2 linked regions of the Rhinolophus ferrumequinum genome follow. The protein of the gene in region 2 purifies or fractionates together with the protein of the main gene of each other region. This does not show direct contact. Links are inferred from orthologs where the notes say so. Each region holds a gene or a part of one and is shown on either strand. Other genes may lie near its edges. The genes, in order: NOA1 and MRPS27.

Region 1 (9,650 bases), on a different chromosome or scaffold from region 2:
CTTGCCTTTCTGACTGTTTGACAAGAGGGTATACATGACTGAAGTAAGTGCTATTCCTGACCTGAGTCCAAAAGCGAAAAATGAGTTGAAGTTAAAGTGACAGAACATTATTAGAAAGCACTCCAGTTACTCTGAAGTTATGGATTGCAAAGAAGAAAAAACTGGACATAGGCAATTATGCTAGGAGGGAAAAAAAATTAAAAGAGCCATATGATTCTGATATGAGTCACCAAATGGAATACAATTCTGAGAATGAAACTGTGATCCTGATGAGGCAAGGAAGGAAAAGTACCTAAGAAACCAATGTTGTTTCACAGGTGAGATACAGAGATAATTAGGCAAATTAGAAACTAGTCAGTAACCAGATTCAAAGGAAACTGATTACAGATCTGTGGTAAGGTTGTATCCTAGATGCACACTTGAGTCCGTCAATGATTTGATGATCAAAACTGCAAATGAATAAAAAGTGACATTTACTGAGTTTGTAGGATATAGGCTGAGCTTCACACCATACAATCAAAAGTGTCCAGGAGATCCTGCCATGGATTAAAAAGATATATAATACTATTCTCAGTTATGCTCATCTGAGGGCACTTATACAAGAAATTCAGTTCTTAGTGTCAGACAAAAACAAGTTAGAAACCATTCTGAAAACGTGCCTGGATGGATGAACAGCCTGTCTCAGAGGAGGAAATAATGTCTATAGGTAGGAAATAATGACAAAGAATCAGGATTGTCAGCACAGGAAGTACTCAGGAAGTTGGATGAGCCAATGAAAGAGAAGAAAATGGGAGAGTGAGGAAAAGACAGGACATCATACTTTAAAATACCTCAAAGTCTGGCAAGGGAAACAGGCATGCATTTCATACACCTTGAGGAACAATGGGCATACGTTACAGGGAGACTGTTCAGCTCCACAAAAAGAGCAGGTCAGAGATCAAATAGGTTACCTTGGGAGGCAAGGTGACACTGCTTCAGCTGATAGTGAGTCACTCCTCACTTCAGGTCAAGCTGGACGCCCTCTTGATGGCTATGTTATAGAGGGGATTCAAGCATGGACTAGGTGGCCGGACTGCAGTGATATTTATGATTTCTTCCAACCTCAAAATCTACGCTTCTGTAAATGTCTTGCTAACTAAGGTAACAACCACAATACTGTAAGTAGGGTGTCAGCAGTGAAGCCCACCAAATGGAATACAGAACTTGATGGCATACAGATTCATTCCTGAACTGTTGCTATGAATGAATCAGAACTGAGTCTATAAGGAAAGTATACCTCCTTTCCTGTGTTCTGTCAATTAAGACGGTACTCATACAATTGAAGGTTAATCTAAAGTTTCTAAAAAACATCAAATACATACACAATTTTCTTTTGTAATTCCAGGGGTGTCATAAAACCAGTGGGCATCTTTCACATCTTGTGGGGTCAGTTCTACTCGTTTGGTGGACTTATCTGCAACCATCACAGGTTCATTTTCCATGTCAAAGGCAAGTGAATCAGCATCAAACTCAAAGGCAGCTTCATCCTTCTGTTCTTCTGAATACAAGAATGTTCTTCCAACTCGTCCTAGAATAAGTTATATTGAAGTTATTAGCCACTCCTTTAAAGCCTTTGACTCCAGACAGGTAATTCTCATGTTCAACTCAAGTTACGAAGACTAATATGGGGTATGTAAGTGAGACTACAATGATAGCTTTGCTTTTTTCTTTCTAAGTCAGTGGGAGTCAGACTCTTGTGATCATCAAGTGTGTGGCTGGCTGTGTATATCAGAGGGAGGTGGGTGGTGAGAACTGGTGGAAGTCAAACTGCATTTGTAAATGAAGGTTGAAAAGAGATAACCAATGAAAGGGGGACCATCTAATTTAGAGCTGCTGCATGGAGTCAACAACCTGTACTGGTCTTCAAGGAGCGAGGCTACATCTTTGTGGAAATTCTTCTGCTGACAATGGCTAGGTGGGCAGTTGCTTCATGATTCCTTTCCAGCATTTCTCCAAGTATCTACTGTCTCAGTTTTCTTAGCACAGTGAACTCTGGCTTTCCAAACATCCACCTTGCCTCTAAAGGGCCTCTATATTCCAGAACGAGAAAAGTAGTCTCTCCCAGCAAAAACTGGCTAGCCTCAGACAGCTGTATTTCAGGTTGCTCAACAAAGAATTTGAGCATAGATCCACCAAGAGTTTTCCTCTAGAAGATGCTTACCTACTACATAACCATGCTTTTTCAGGAGAGTAAGTTGATTTTGTTCTAGCTGACTAAGATCTTCTTCAACTTCATTTGCATTTTTTTTTAGCCTTTTTTGCCTTTCAAACATTCTGTAAGGAGTTGGGTTGCAAATAGGAAACTTCAGAAGGTTTAATGTAGTACCTGAAATATCAAAGAATACATTTTTATAAACATTGCACAAGGGAATAAAGGGAGGAAAGCTAATATTTTCAAGGAGCAACACTGTCTTGGGCACTGTAATTTATTTCACTTAACCTTCATGACAACCCTCTACAAAATTATTCTTACTTTACAGATGAGGAAATAGATTCAGAGAATGGCTCACAGGCTCAACCTGGAGGTGAATCCCAAACCCGCAGGCCTGATTTCTTTCCATCTTCACCATACTATATAAAAGTACTTCTGTGTATAATTCATAGTTTAGGACAGCAAAGAACAGCTTACCAAGCAAAATCAAACACTGGTTTCAAAGGAACAAATAATGCCATTAATTTTGCCAACTATTAAATACAAACAGGGTCATAGATGGACCCATTTCCCAGTCACAGAAGTTCCCTGAAGCCACAAAATTGACGTCTTCTAAAGCCATACATCATATTGCATTAGTGAACTATTTAAATGTTAAACATGTGTGGCAAACTGATATCATGAACTCAAGATATGAAGAGTAAGATTGAGGGGTAAAGGGAGGTTTAGAAAGTCAAAGGGTTTTTCTGGGAAACATACAAAGTAAAGCCACAAGAGAAACCTCCAAGAAAGCAGGAACTTTGCTTTGTTCTCTGGTTTATCTCCAGTGCCTAGAACAGTGACCGAAAGATAGAAGTAAATATTTCTATCAGGAAGTTACTATGATAGAAACACAAATATTTCTATCAGGAAGTTACTATGACATATACTAACTTTTCAAGCACTAAGCTGACACAGAAGAGAGGTGTGACCAAAGTAGGGAGAGAATTTTTACAGGGAAGGATCCAGACACTCCCTGGTGGCTTTAAGGGGCAGGCATCCTAAGGCTCACCAGGCCAAGGGGAGATGGTAGCTCTGTCGATTGCCTCAGCGCCCTTGGCGATGCAGTAATCCGACTCCAGGAGCGTGTTGAAGAGAGTGGACTTGCCAGCGTTGGTGGCGCCAACCAGGTAGACGTCGCCGCGGTAGCGCCAGGAGCGCTGAAGCGCAGAGATCAATTCTTCCACTCCATAGCCAGTCTTGGCGCTGATGAGCCGCACGTCCCTGAGCACGGTGCGGGACCCGGTGGAAGCGTTCCAATTCTTCTGCCCGTCCGGTGGCCCGTCCCCGCCGGGGTGCTGTGGCCCTAAGTGGCCAGGGAGCCGCAGGAGCCCGGCGCGGGCACAGTCGTCCCACAGCCGCTCCCGGAGCCGCTGTAGGTAGCCGGGAGCGTCCTGGGGAAGCAGGTCCACCTTGTTTCCCAGCACGATCAGCTGCTTGGGGCCTACCAGCGCGGGCAAGTCGGGCAGCAGGGCGTCGGGCAGATCGAGCAGGTCCACCATGTACAGCACCAGGGCGGGTCCGGGCCGCCGCAGAGCGGCGCTCACCAACTCCAGGTATTGCTCGCGGCTCACCTGCAGGCGCAGGGCGCGCCGGTGATGCACCAGCAGCCAGCAGCGCTGGCACACGGTCCGCGCCAGCCCGCCGTCGGCCTGCGCTGCCGCGCTAAGAAACTTCTCACTGGGCAGGTAGCCGGGCACGGCAGGGTCCTGGCAATGCAGCTCCGCCCCGCAGCCCGAGCAATTCAGGCCGCTCCGCGGCACCGTCGGGTCCGGGTGCCCCACGACCGGGTGCACCCGGCGGCTGGTCCGTAACTTCTGCAGCCGCCGCTCCTCCTGCCGCTGTTGCTTCTGTCGCTCCTCCTCCTCCTGCCGCTGCTGCAGCTCGCGCAGCTGCTCTTCTAGGGTCGGTGCGGGCTCCGGCTCCGGGACGTACTCGGGGAACAGAAAACGCTCCTCCATGTCATCCCTGCCTTCGTAACCCCCAGTCGCCGTCGGGCCACCAGGAAGCTCACGTCCCAGGCCCGACAGGTGCTGGGAGGAGGGGGCGGCCGCGCATCTTCTCTTGAGGAGCGGATCCCAGAGGCCATGGCACGCTACGGTGGGAACCGAACCCCGCAGCAAGGGGCACAGCAGTCTACGGGTTAGGAGTGCAGGTAGCATGGGGAACCCGGCCCTGTACCAAGGGGCGGAGCCACTTGTGCGCACGCGTACTGGGGCCCATGTGGCATATTAAACCCGAGATTAAGCCCGGAACTACCTGAAAACTGTCAGGCACTTTTCGGCTCCTCCTCCCGCATCTAATCTCGTAAATTCTCGCGATGAAAGCCCCAAGGCTTAAGAGCCCGCTCAAAGATGTGGCAAAGGTACCGGACGGAGACCTAGAGTGTGCCGGTTGGGCAGAAGAAGCTTGTGAGGGTTTGGTCACTTTCAGCCTTCTTCAATGCGCCACCAATGGCATAACCCGCCTTTAATAAGCCACGTTTTAAAAAGCACTGTTTTTCGGCTTTAAAAGTGCAAAAAGTACAACGTCGAATGCCATACGCTGACGGCCACAATGAACACTTTTTACTAATTAAGTCTCTTATTTCTTTTTTTCAGGTGTCATTATTTGTGCAATATTGAAAAACGACCAAAAACTTTTCATTGGCTGGAACCGATCTTCAGACTGTAGGAGTGGTGTGCGCAATCAGCCACCGGACCCGTAGGCCTGCAGTTTGCGCGTGCGCAATTCTAACCCTTGTCCACTTTAGCCTACCATATGCGCAGGCGCAGATCTTACGTTGGCTTCTTTGTGGGTGGCCTTTGGCGGAAGACGCAGAGTATTCTGGGAACGCCGTCGGCGGAAATTACTTTGTCTCAGGCTCCTGGTGCTGGTCGTTGGTGCGCACCGTTCTGTCTGTGATTTCAAGAGCTTAGAGTTCGGGAACCGTTTGCAAACATGTATGACGCGGACGAGGGTAGGTGACCGCTCAGAACACTCCCCGGCGACCCATCTAAGTAGGGAAACGTGGGGAGCTGGACGAATTGAGGATTGGCCTTCCTCCTAGCCCGTTGCACAAGTGTCCACAGTCATGTTCCCTGCATACCCCAGGCCGGGGACGAAGCCGGGATTACGAGAGGTGGAGGGTGCAGGGAATGTAGCATTAATATTCCCGGTCTGAGTGGCACTTGTTCCTTCCATTGTCTGCTGGATAAATCATACCTCCTTCCTGTATTGGAATAGCGTGCAGAACCCTAACATAAATTCCGTTGTTTTGACTTTGTGTGCAGTGAAGGGTTCCTTTTTTCATTTTCCTTAAGGCCAGAATTAGTGGATTTATTGAATTTATGAGCGTCAACCTGGGCCAGGCTTTGTGTTAGTCTTTGGAAATACACCGGGGACAAAAAATACAGTGTGTGGTTGGACGGGGTTGGTCTAGTTTGGCATTCCTTCAATGCTGTCATACATCTAAGGCAATTGTCTGAAAAGAGGACATTTAAATTTCCTTTTCCCACAAAATAACATAGTTCTTAGATGGTACGTGTTCTACTGAACAGGGCCAATATATCTTTTCACGTGCCGAATTAGTCATGTCTCCTGTATTTTCATTATGTATTTTTAAAGCTCCCCTTTCCATTCTCCACAGCTACTATTTCAAACTTCATTTACTTCTAGCTCCCAGCCCGTAGCCACCCTTCACATTTCTTATTACCTCAGCTACTTCAAGGAGAAACTAGAAAAACAAAAGCTTAAACTCTGCTGTTTAAATTACTCTGTGTCAATTACATCTTGAGTCTAGAAATGTATTAGCATTACTATATTCCCTTAACGCCTCTCTGAGTGGAAAAGAAATTCAAAAAATTTTTCTTAATTTAATTTTTTGATTAGGTAATGTATTTCTGTGTCTCATAAGCCAGAAAATACAAAAATGTTAGTGTCAGGTCTCTTTTCTTGCCCACCATCTCCCAGTGTGAACCCCCTTCATAGTAGGTACCCACTTGTCTTAGATTATCACTCCATAGTGTTTTATGTACATTCAAGGAAATAAGTGGGATTCTGTTGCCACCACCCACCCATAGGAACATTTACACTTTTCTGTGTTTTTTATTTTTTACGTTTTATATATATATATATATATATATATATATATATATATATATATATATGTCTATGTGTGTATATGTGTGTGTGTGTGTGTGTGTGTGTATTTATCTACCTGGGAGATTTTCATATCCATAGAGAGCATTCTCATTTCCCCCCCCCCCAATGCTACGTAGTTTGAATGGATATGCCATAACTTTAGTGTCTTATTGATGGACATTTGGGTTATTTCCCCTTTTTCTTCCCGTGGTTCAAACAGTGCTGGAATTAATAATCTTGTACTTTTTTTTGTTTAGTACAAGTATGTCTGTAGGATAATTTCTAGATGTAGAAATGTCAGGTCAAATGATATACATGTTTAACATTTTGCTAAGTGACCAGATGGTGCCAAGTGACCATGATAGTGATTGTTGTGCTTTATCCTCTCATTCGCCATGTTAATAAATAATTCTGTGGAAAAAAGAGTTACAAGTCATCCTCTTGATAAAAGTCTTCTTCAGCTTTGAGTTTACATTCCTGCCTGTGTCCTTTGTATCTTTTATTAGATTTGTCAGTTTTCAGACACTCCTTTTCAGTTGGCTTCTTTCTATGTGAATTATTAGATCTCTTTTGTCCATAAGAAAATAAGTTAAACTCTTTATTGTTTCCTTTTTTCCCAATATTTTGCCTTTGGAAGGCAAAGCTTTCCACATTTCACAGCAAGCTTCTAAAAAGAATAGGCTGTCCTTGATTCAACCCCCACCTTTCAGGTTCTCCTCAACGCACTGCAATCTAATTCTGCTCATGCCACTACATTAAAACAGCTTTTAATAAGAATATCAGTGACTTCTCAGTTGGTAAATCAGGTGGGCATTTTTAAACTTTATCCAGACCCAGTGGTATTCAATATTGTTGATGACTTCCTTCTGGAACTCCTTTCTTTTGCCAGATCACTCTGACTTAATGGCTCTTACCTATGTTGTGACTTTCCTTTTTATCCTTTTCTGTTCACATTCTTCCTGGATGATTTCATCCATTCTCCATGGCTTCATTTACCATTTTATGTGAACGACTTCTGAAAATATATTTCCAGTCCAGATGTTTTGTATGTCTAACTGCCACTAGACAGTTTCACATGGATGTCTCTCAGGCCCTTCAAACTTGTCATTATTCAAATTGGTCATTTTCCTTTCCTCATCCCCCTTCCAAAGCTGCTTCCTTTTGTGTTCTCCATCTCAGTGAATGGTATCACCCTCCTCTGTTGTTGAAATCAGAATCCAGGGCATGATTCTTGATTCTTCTTCTTCACCCCTATACCTAGTGAGTCATCAAGCCCTGGGGGTTCTATCTCCTAAACATGTCAGATCTAGTCACTACTTTGTCTCCTTGCCCAGCTTATTTCTCCAGACTCCTAAGTGGTGTGTGTACTTAAGGTTTTCTTGCCTCTCAATCCACTCTCCACTCTGTGGCCATAGTGATTTTTCAGAAATGAAAATCTGATCTAGCTACAGCCTTGCTAAAATCTTAGACTGGTTCCGCAAAGCTCTATTGGTAAAGACCAAGCTCTTTTACTACTCCCAGCTGCACGCTCTGTGCTTCAGCTACATTGGCCTTCTTTCACTCCTTGAATATCTTTTATTGTGGAGTCTTTTGCACAGGTTGTTTTTTTCTGGAATACTTTTTCTGTCTTTTTTTTTGAATACTTCTCTACCCCTCCCATTCTCAACCCCTCCTTTTGCCTGATTTAGTCTTATTTATTCATACACGAGATCTCTGCTTAGCTTAGCTTTTGGGAAGTCTTCCCTACCCTCAGGTCCTGGTTAAGACTCCATGTCACTGTTCATACTCTTAATTGACTTCATCTTGTCTGTGTCTCCCCATTTGGTGATAATCTCCTTGAGGATGCAGCCGTCTTTTATCTTGTTGAAGATGGTGTCGCCAATGCCTGGGACGTAGTAAACACATTCAATAAATATTTTAAAATGGATGAATGAATAAATGAGTAACAACCTTCATGGGTTCATTTTCTTTCACATGACTTTAATAGGGGTGTTCTCTAATATCTTGCCTTCAGTTTTCCTTCTCTGTAAACTTTTCGTATTTACCAACCACATGGTAAGGATTCTCAACTCTTTTTGTAATTTAGACGCCTTGTTTGAGTTTTATATTTATATCCAGTTGCCTACTGTAAGTATTTAAAGGGATAAATGTTCTGTAAATATACCTAAAGCTGACCTCATTTCTTTCCTTTTCCTACCTTCTTACTTGCTTTTCCTGTGTGGCTGGGATATTAACCTCTTAATCTGTCATCAAAGCTAGATATCTCTGAGCTATTTTAGATACTTTTGTCTTTCTTACCCCTCCCCCATGTGTAGGGATCAATAATTCCAGGCTATTCAAGAAACATTTATTAAATAATTTATTTTGGGTATGTAACAGATTTTGAATCCAAAACTGTTAAGTTTTATAGACTATATATAGGTCAGAATATAAAAGCAAATCAAATACAGCACACTTATTCTTTTACATTAGGAGATGAGACTAATATTAGAGGTTCAGTGTGCGCTGATTTTTCAAATGCCCATTGTTCAAACTGTTGCTGCATAACTGCCCCAGAATTTGGCTGCCTAAAAATTCCTATTTTAATGGATTTAAGTGATCAGGAATTTGGACAGAGCATAGTAGGAATGACTTGTCTGCTCCATGTCAGTAGTTCAGCTGGGCAGACTCAACGGCTCAGTGTTGCTAACTGGGCACTGGGTGATCTGGAGTGTTCCCTAACGTGCCTGGCACGTAGCCTCGGAGAACTCAAGGACGAGGATTGGACTGGAACATCTGTAAGTGGCCTCTCCACGTGCTTTGGGCTTCCTCACCAGTCTTAGAGGAGTAACACTTCTTAATGGCAGTTTGGGGCTCCAGAAGCACGTGTTTCAGCAAACAAAGTAGAACAACATTGCCTTTCGGGACCTAACAACAAAAAGTCACGTAAGAACAACAGCAAAAAGTCACGTAACGTCTCTTTAGCTGCGTTCCGTTAGTTATGGGAGGATCAAAAACCCATCTAGATTCAAAGGGAGGAAACATAGAGCCCTATATCTTGATGGTAAGAATGTCCAGATCACACTAAAAAAGCTTGTGAAATGGAAAATACGGTTTGGCCATCTTTGGAAAATACAGTCTGTCGTACCTATACATGTATGAAATTGTACTGTAATGGACCACCCACTTTAAGGTATTGCTTAGCTGTATGAACCTTTTTCTGTCTCTACGCCTTACCCTAATTTCTGACTCCAGACTCTGAGGAGCTTATTGAGCAGAGAACTGGGAGCTTGCTCCTAGTTATCATTATAATTCGCTA
Region 2 (9,730 bases):
AAGAGAAACCTGGTAAACCAAATTTGAGCTAACCCACAAAATAACATAGGTGTATTCCCAGCACCTGGCACAATGACGGGCGTATGGCAATATTCAATAATTATGAGCTTAAGGAATGCATGAGAGACAATGAGTGGCAACTTACTCAAAATTAAACCTTTGTGCTTCAAGTGTCAAAGGACTCTATCCAGAAAGTAAAAGGACCACTCACAGAATGGGAGAAAATATTTGCAAATCATTTATATGATAAGGGACTTGTAACCAGAATACATAAATAACTCTTATTAGTGAAAATTTAAAAAGAGGAGCAATCAACTGAAAAATTGGCAAATGATTTGAACAAATATTTCTCAAAAAGACATATACATACACACAAACATATGCACATACACACAAATGGCCAACAAGTACATGGAAAGATACTTAGTATCATTTGCCATTAGGGAAATGCAAAATACATTGAAATGCTACTCTGTACCCACTCGGACTATAATAAAAAAGAGAGATACTAGCCATTGATATGGAACCCCCACGCATTGCAGGTGAAACTGTAAAATAGTGCAGCCATTTTGGAAAAGTTTGGCAGTTCCTCAAAATATTAACATTGGAGTTGCCATATAACCCAGCAATTCCTCTCCTAGGTAAATACCCAAGAGAAATGAAATCACGTATCCACACAGAAATTTATATACAAATGATCATAGCAATATTATTCATAATAGCTCAAAAATGGAAACAATGCATATACCCATCAACTGATGAATAAACAAAATGTGGTATATTCTTACAATGGAATATTATTTGACAGTAAAATGAAATGAAGTACATATATGTGATATGACATGGGCGGATCTCTAAAACATTATGCTAAGTGAAAAAGAGGCCAGTTACAAAAGATCACATATTATATAATTCTCTTTAAATGTAAAGACCACAGTAGGCAAATCTATAGAGACAGACAGCATATTAGTGGTTGCCTAGATTTGGAGGGTAGGGAGTCAGGAAAGCTAGGGGGAAATTGGAGAGTAACTGTTAAATAGGTTTGTTCTTGAGGTGGTGAAAATGTCCTAAACTGATTGTGGTGATGGCTGGAAGAGGGAGTCAGGTTGGTTAGTGTGATATGTGCAAGACAGAGTGATGTAAGAACTTGATTTGCCCTTGCTCACTTTGAAGATGTTTGAGAAAGGGGTCCATCAACCAAGGAGTGTAGGTGGTCTCTAAAAAATGGAAAAGCCGAGGAAACAGGTTCTCCCTTAGAGATTCTCAAAGGGATCACATCCCTTTCAACACCTTGATTTTAGCACAGTAGGCCCTGTATTGGTCTTTTGGCCTACAGAGAGCTAAGATAATAAATCTGTGTTGTTTTAAGCCACCACATTTATGCTAATTTGGTAACCTTCTTACCCTTCATCCAGGCAGTTTTTGAGGCAACCATATGCTCTATCTCAAATATCTGCTATACAAAGAAACATTTTCTCCATTTAATTCTGAAAAGAATTAAAACCAGAATTTCAGTACAACTAAAAACACTCATGAAAGAGGACTTCCAGAACTGCTTCAGAAAGGGGCAAGAACGATGGACTGTGTGTTCGAAGTGAGGGGGAGTATTTTGTGGGGGATTAATGACAATGTGTCTTTTACTGTAATAAATTTTTTATTTATTTATACATTCATTGTATCTTTTGATCAAACCTCGTGAGTGCCTAACCTAACATCCCCTATATAGTAGGTGCCCAGTAAGTTTCCTTTCTCTAGTCTCTTCATATAGTGAAGTCACTTTTTGGTTCAACTCAATAAAGTTTCCTTGTATCCTCTTGCTCATGTTAAGTTGCCCTTCTTCATTATGAAGTAAGGAGAGTCAATGGTAGCACCAAAGTGTTCCAAATATTGATATATCATGAGTTTGTACAAAGTAGACAATTTTTTCTCTCTTATCCTGCAATGGTTCAAGATGTTTTGATGATTTAAAGTCAAGTTATTATCAGCATTTTCAAAACCCCGAGTGGTTCATAATGTACTATCCTACTTACTTATATTATTTGCCGTATAGCCTCTAATTCCTGATTTCAAAACTCCTTTCATCTATGGTCTAACCCAGTGCTTGCTCAATATAACTTTCTGTAATGATGGAAATGCTCAATCATGAGCTGTCCAATAAATACAGTAGCTACTAGTCACAGGTGTCTACTGAGCTCTTAAAATGTAGCTAGTACAACTAAGAAACAGAATTTTAAATTTTATTTAATTTTAAGTAATTTAATTAGCCATATGTAGCTAGTAGTTACCACAATGGGGGTAGCACAGGTGTATAACCTACAAGTTCACCAGTTCAAACTAAGACCAAAATACTAACTGGAAATTCTCTCAATTCCCCCTTATCTAATTTCCATTCCCTTGTTAGAATGATTGCCCCCAAACATTCTAAGCAACCAAGATACCCTCCCTGACAAACAATCTAAGGTCTTGTTTAAATTGAAAAGCATTCACTAACAACCATAACTACACATAGCTGTAAACAGCTACAACAGTTAATTCTTACTGACGTGCCAGGTATTGAGCATACACCACTTTACCTAATGTGTGGCATTAAATATTTTCACCAGGTAGGTCAACCAGTTTGGTCAACCAGTTTAATCCTCAGAAAACTTCTGGTGGCCAAATCTGAGGTTTCACGTTAATATTTAATTGCTGTTCCTAAAAAAGTGTGAGCCAGAGAGTGTGTGTGTTACTTTTTTATAGGGGCTCGAGGAGGTAAGTAGAAAAGAGGAGATGATAGGCATTGGAAACATGGATTGTAATTATTGCATTTTAATCATATAACTTGTCAGGATTAAGCTTCTGGAAATGTTAAAAAGATTTCCAATGTCTTTAGCAGCAGATCCATTAAACAAATAGGTTTTGAGTGGGCTGCCATTCACTCAGGTATCAAAGTACTTTTTAGAAGTAACTATATTAGCATTTATTGTCTATACATGGAAAACTGTAGCAAAGAAAGGTCAATCAAAACTTGTGCCCAATGTCATCAGGAACAGTAAGATCAGTATACTGAAAAATGCTTCCACCAACTGAAGACTAGGGGTCTGGCCAGGTGTGAGGTGGTTTATAACGCCGCTCCAAGGAAACCTCAGCAGAGAGGAAAATGCATAGCCCCAGGGGTGGACATACTCGGACTTTTCACGGTCCGCAAAAAGACAATCACCCATAACGCACAAACTCAGCAAATCATAGGCAAAAGCGTTCATGCCTTGACTTTTTCTGCTGTTTCCATCTTTGGATGGGCAGACACATTATTTTACCGAAGGAAATGGGTCAGAGACCCTACCTCCCCTTTCTGGGCTACCAAATACTCCAAATCATTTCTCCAGCAACTAGATTCCAGAAGCATTTCTTCTCCTCTTGAAAGCCCACCTCTCCCTTCACTCAAGGAACCTAGTTCTCAGGGACCTAAAGAAGCAGCCCCATGAAGGCAGCAGCCACCAACCTGCCAGGGAATGCTGAGGCAGAAGTACTTTCCGCGCCAGGAGGATCCCGCATCGCACCATGGGGGCCGCCATCTTGGAGCATACCAAGGAGAAAGCCGGTCCGGGGCTGTTGAGGGCGGGGCCCAGTCGAGCCGACGCTCCTCCCCCCTCCCGGTTCCGGCAGTTGGTGCGGCCCGGGACGGCATGGCAGCTGCTTTTCGGCCCCCGAAGCAAGCCCTGCTGCATGCGCTGCGGAGTTTGGTGTATCCTGGGGTGGGAGGCTCAGGCTCCCCCTGCTGCCGCTGCCCTGTCGGAGGTATCCGCGGCCTCGGGCCGTGAAGGAGGGGAGGGATGGGACAGAAGGGGCCTCACCTCAGCGCACATCACTTTGGAGAAATAACAGCGCCTCAGTTATTTACGGGCCTGGGGCAGCTGAGCGTGCCCTCGCCGTCTGGCTGTGCATGGCTGCAGCGGTGGCTCCTGGCTGTCGTGGACGCCGGTGTGCCTGGGAACCATAGGACAGCCGGGCTGGGGTCTTGACCTTGGGGCCGTAGCACTCCCTCGGATGGGGCTACGTTGCTCTCCGGAAACCCCTCTTCCCTCTTGGTTGTACTGAGATTGGGAGCCGAGGTGTTAGCTAACAATCTGAAAGGCTTGGAGCAGGTTTCTTGATTTGTAAAATTTTCCCTTAATATCTTCATGAAAATGATTTAATTTGAAAATCCTGGTGAGTGATAATAAAATATTTAATACTTTGTATCAGTGCATTTTACATACACTCATTCCTTCTCACAAGACCCAGTAATAGAGGTACCATTCTTTTCTCCATTTATATAGGAGGGAACAGCAAGTCGAACTAATCTGCCCAAGGTCCGAGGGAACTGGTAGGGTTGGGATTTGAACACAGGCAGCCACACAGAAGAGTCCAGATGTAACCACTTCTCTGGACTGCCTTTTCACAAATAAGCAGCAACTTTTGTTGTTACCTTGTTATTGCAGTACCCAGAGCTCTTTTAATGGGTGATCCTTTGGCCAAGCTCCATCCACTCCTTGCACAGCCGAGCATCCTAAAGAAATGATGATGTTTTCCAAACACATCTTTTCTGCTAAGTTGGCAGTGATTTCTGATGTGATCTTTGAAGATACTGAGAGTCCACATCTGAGAGGCCACAACACTTCATTTCAAAAATGACAGAACTGGGAATTCCAATGGTCACACTATAGTTTTTCCACTACACGATGCGATTCTTTGTAGGTAAACTAGATATACTTGTTTTGCACTTAATCGATGACCTTTAGTTGGTTTGTTTTTAAATTCCCTTGTTATCCCTTAACCAGATGGTGAATGTCTATTTGTCTTTCAGATCCCAGATTCCTGTCAACCCATCCTCACACACAACCACTAGCTCCTTTCACACACACAAACAAAACTTGTCTTGCTGAGACTTGTATTCTTTGTTAGTTTGGAGATGTTTTTCCCTCTAGGGTGACTTATATTTGTATCTGCCTAGGTGGATTACTTATACTAAGTGAAGATAAAATTAGTTATTAGAAGCTATGAAGCTCTACTCATGTTATTTGCTAAATATAAAACAAAATAATTTTACTCTTTTTCTTTCTCTAATTTTTAGCTAAAAGATATCTACTTACAGATAACATTATGAAATTAAAAGAATTTCAGCATAAGAAGGTGGCTATTGCACATAGTCTTCCTGGCACCAAAGGTAAATTCATTCCTTCTCTCCTGCACATTGAGTTTTTCCCAATACTTCGACTTCTTTATAAACACAGCAAAATTCTGCTCTTTTAATAACTCTTTTTGTGTGTCCCTGCTGACTTTTTCCGCTGTCCTGCTTCTCACTGTCAAGTGTTTAAAGCATCTAATTAACACTTGCTTCTCTTCACTCACAGTCCTGCCTTCAGAAATCAGTCTCCCCTCACTTCTCTGCTAAACATACTGTTACATAATACCACCTGTGGTACAAGAAGCTACGCCTTAGGAGTGAGGGAGAATATATTCATCTCCTATTTAGCAGACCCAGTTTAAATTTTACTTCAGTCTTTTGGAGATATGCAAAGTTTGCAAAATTAGGCCTCCATGTCTATCTGGTTGTTATTTCCAACGGTCATAGTCTTTTTAAGGCGGTGACAGTTGTGCATATGTCCTGAGGCAATTCATATGAGTGCCAATCTACTCCACTGTCAGATTGACACTTATAAAATCCAGTCACCATTTCATATTATAAGCCTCCAAAAGGGTACTGGGCTATATACTACATGTACTAACTCACCCCCTGGTTTCCTAGCTCTTCCATAATTGACTTGACCCTTTCTGAAGTCCCGTGTGATTTCCTATTAATCTAGTCACAGTTCTCCCCTCTCCACCTCCCCCCACCCCAAGTTTATGCTGTTACTCGTGCTAATTCCCATACCTAAAATGCCCCCTCTCCTCAGTTTCTCCAACCCTATCCCGCCGTTTCCTTCCTCTCTGGTAACATCTCCACTCCCCCAAACCAGGTCTGTTCCTGCCACCCTGATTTCTCTCTTCTCTCCTATTACATTTATAATCAGTCATGCGTCACCACCATTGTCAGATAACTTTGTATGAATATATCTTGTCTTCTTGAATAGAATTTGCCCTTCCAGGGCGGGAGCCATACCTCTGTGTATGCATATATGATAAGCACTTAAATCTTGATTGATTTATTAAAATACAAATTACAGTTGTTGAAATTTGGGGTTCTTAAGGTTTATTAAGAAGAATTAAGAAGTACAAGATGTAAAGTCATCCTACTGAAATTTTTTATGTTGGAAATTATTTAGCAATATTTAATAGAATAAATCCTCTTAAATCTAAGAGTGATTGAAGGAATAAAAAAAATGAGAACAATAATGTCTGTGATTTACTGGCAGTTACTCTTTGCTAGGCCCTGTGCTAAATGCTTTACATACATTATCTCAACCCCATGAGGTAGGTGTCATGATCCTCACTTCACACATGGGAATCAGGTCTCAATGACAAGAGTCTGCATGCAGGTGGCAGAGCCTAGATTTCAGCCCAGGTCCTTCTATCTCTAAAACCTTTAACCTTTAACCAAATCAAGATTGGAGGACCCACTACATTATCTCACAACCAACCTAGTGGGCTTTCTTTTCTCATAAATCAAGGGCAGTGTCTGTTTCAGCTTCCAGATCTTATGTTTTTAATGTATATCGTGCCACTCCTTTAAACAGCATTCCTTCAAAGCTCCGGGCCTTGGAGCAAATCCTGTAAATTTTGTTTTTGGCAGCTTCTGATACTGAGAACAGCCTTGCCTTCTGGAAAGCAGCTGCTTACTTCGTGCCTGCCTTGCATCTCACCCCACATTCTGGGGAGAGTACAGTCCCTTCCGAATGCCAAGAAACAGTGCTTTCCTTTTGGTGTGTGACTGTTCTCCCCGTCCCCACGCTGGTTGATCAGGTGCAAGACAAGGGACAGAGGCAGATTATGATCACCTTGAAATGATTCTTATTAAAAAGGGACCTTTTTTTTTTTTTCTGACCTTTTTTTTTTTTTTTTTAATTTATTGGGGTGACAATTGTTAGTAGAATTACATAGATTTCAGTTGTGCAATTCTGTATCACATCATCCATAAATCACACTGTGTGTTCACCACCCAGAGTCAGCTCCCCTTCCATCACCATACATTTGATCCCCCTCACCCTCATCCCCCACCCCCAACCCCTTTACCTTCTGGTAACCACCAAATTACGTTCCCCAGATTAATTTTCAAACCCGTGGCCATCCTGTGGTCACCGACTGCCCTCCAATCCCCTCACCCTCCCCCTCACCCCCCACCCCTCCCGCCCATCTAGCAACCCTCAGTTTTTCCTCATTGTCTCCAAAACTGTTTCTGATTAGTTCATTCACTTATTCTTTTCTTTAGAATCCGCAAATAAGTGAGATCATATGGTACTTATCTTTCTCTGTCTGACTTATTTCACTTAACATAATGTTCTCTAGATCCATCCATGTTGTTGCAAATGGTAAGATTTCTTTCTTCTTTATGGCTGCATAATACTCCATTGTTTTTTTTTTTTTTACACTCTATGCATTATGTAATCCTATGGCGTGCTTTCTAACAACTGAGTAGAGAGGCACAAAGAGGAATGAGAGGTAAAGTTGAACCAAATGAAAGAGACCCGCAGTATTCCTGAATCGTGTGTCAACCACTATGGGTAAAAGTATCGTCAGCTCACATTTTTCTTTCCGTTTTCCACCTAGATGCCCTGATAATTGATAGTTTGGATATCTCAGTTACATTTTCTTTCTTTTTTTCCTCCCCTCGTGGGTCACCTGTAAATACAGTTCTTTGGGCTAAAACTCTTGGATATTAGTTCTTAAACTTCAGTGTGCATGAGGATCACCCAGGTAGTCACAAATGCATATTCTTGCGCTCCTATCCTCAGAGATTCTGGTTAGAAAGTCAGGAGTGGGGCCTGGGCTTGTGCCCCTGTGACACACACGCTTTGCTTTATGCACCGTCTCTGACACTGCTCTCGAGGAGACCAGCCTGGGATGGGAGGCTGCATAGGCCCCTTTGCAACATGCCGAGTTCTGGCTTCCCCTTCGCCCTGAGGCCAGACTCTGACAGTCCGGTCAGCCTTAGCGATGTCCACCACCCCGTGCTTTCTTCCAGAAACCTATTTGAGAAAGTTGGAAGAGAAATTGACCCAGAACAAGCTCATCTTGAAGGAGGAATTGAGAACCGTGCTTCATTTGTGTGAGTCCCGGGATGATGTGGAACTGGTTAAAAATGTCATTTACAGGTGAGGCATTTCCTTAGAATTCTGTCAGCCTTTGTCTCTTCTCACTTTGTTCCTTTTCCTGAGCAGTCTCATCTACTTCCAAGATTTCAGCCATCACCTATACACTGATGATTTCCAAATCTGTCATTCAGATGCCTGTCCTGAGCTCCAGACATTTAAATTCATTCATTTAGCAAACACTTATTGGGTTCCTATTACATGCCAAGTGCTGAGGATAGAAAAACAGATGATTCATGCCCCAAGAAATTCATGCCCCAGCCTGTTTACTGACTCCACTTATATGTCCCCTAGGTCTTCACATTCAACTTATATAAATTTCTTTCTCTCTCTGTTTCCTGTTGTACTGACCAGTCACTCAGGATGGATACGGAGGAACCTCTTTCTTTCTCCTAGTCTCATATGCTCTCCCTGACAGGGTAAGAAATCCGACTGCTTCTTCTGCCCCAGTAGACCTCTGTCCCCATTTCTCAGTGTCTTAGTTCAGGTCTCGACGTCTCTCACTTGGACTCCTAACTAGTCTTCCTCCTCCAAGCTTATGTCTGTTATGTTGCATTGTCTCTGATCCATTACTAGAATTTCCTATGTCAGAAGGAACTCACATGAAATCAGTCAGCTGTTAGGTGAGACCCAGCAAAGGTTCCGCTTACTCGGGAGCAAATCAATAGGCTGCATTTCTGAAATTAAGTCAGTTGCTTCTTTTTACCATTCTTTAAATACATATTTCTATACACAGACCTGCATTTATATTGCATACTTATAGAGAGAAATACAAGGTATTAATATATAGAATACTAGAAGAATATATACCAAAAGTTAACCATGGTTCTCTGGGAATTACACATTGTATATTTTTTATTTGTCTAAGTGTGTACTTTTTTTATTTCTCCAACCTGTGTATAGTGGACATTATCAATTTTATAATGTGAAAAAATTGATGTTCTTTTCAAAAAGAAGAGAAAAAACAAAATTACACAAAATTCATTGAAAATTTGAAAAACACCAAAAAAGTAGAAAGAAGAAAGGTATCATAAATCCTGCTGTTTCAGTTGTCTCTTGCTGCGTAACAAACCACACCAGAATGCAATGGCATGTTATTTCATTTAATCCCCAGAAAAACTCTGAGTTGAGTTCTCTTCCTGTCTCCATTTTACAGATGAGGAACCTGAAGCAAGGAGTGGTTAATTAATTTGCTCATGGTTACACGGTTAATAAATAGAAGGTCTGGGATTTGAACTGTCACTTTGGAATCAGAGTCTAAAAATCCTATTCACTGCACTATATTGTCTTGCTTTATTGAGCTATGATTGACAAACTGATAATTCATGCCCCAAGAAATACAGATAATTCTTTACATACATTGAAGATGTGACAACTTTATGTTTTGATATAACTTTTGTAATTGGAATTTCAGATGTGTCTTTAAGTACACATCATCATTCTGTTTGGCCGTATATATGTTT

The links.
Region 1: the proteins of MRPS27 (region 2) and NOA1 purify together in Homo sapiens (co-immunoprecipitation; 3 studies listed by BioGRID and IntAct, counting the BioPlex papers as one, with this or other methods). This does not show direct contact. The link is inferred for Rhinolophus ferrumequinum from reciprocal best matches to the Homo sapiens genes MRPS27 and NOA1.

What each region holds. Positions count from the first base shown.
Region 1 is NC_046288.1:18,687,603-18,697,252, forward strand, and holds the start of NOA1 (nitric oxide-associated protein 1), read right to left. Parts: upstream 4,468-9,650; 5' UTR 4,393-4,467; coding exon 3,243-4,392; intron 2,366-3,242; coding exon 2,201-2,365; intron 1,568-2,200; coding exon 1,362-1,567; intron 1-1,361. Other genes in the region: POLR2B (DNA-directed RNA polymerase II subunit RPB2), read left to right, coding at 5,171-5,189. UniProt on the Homo sapiens protein: Involved in regulation of mitochondrial protein translation and respiration. Plays a role in mitochondria-mediated cell death. May act as a scaffolding protein or stabilizer of respiratory chain supercomplexes. Binds GTP.
Region 2 is NC_046290.1:45,657,366-45,667,095, forward strand, and holds the start of MRPS27 (28S ribosomal protein S27, mitochondrial), read right to left. Parts: upstream 3,589-9,730; 5' UTR 3,587-3,588; coding exon of another isoform or gene 3,555-3,586; coding exon 3,482-3,554; intron 1-3,481. UniProt on the Homo sapiens protein: RNA-binding component of the mitochondrial small ribosomal subunit (mt-SSU) that plays a role in mitochondrial protein synthesis. Stimulates mitochondrial mRNA translation of subunit components of the mitochondrial electron transport chain.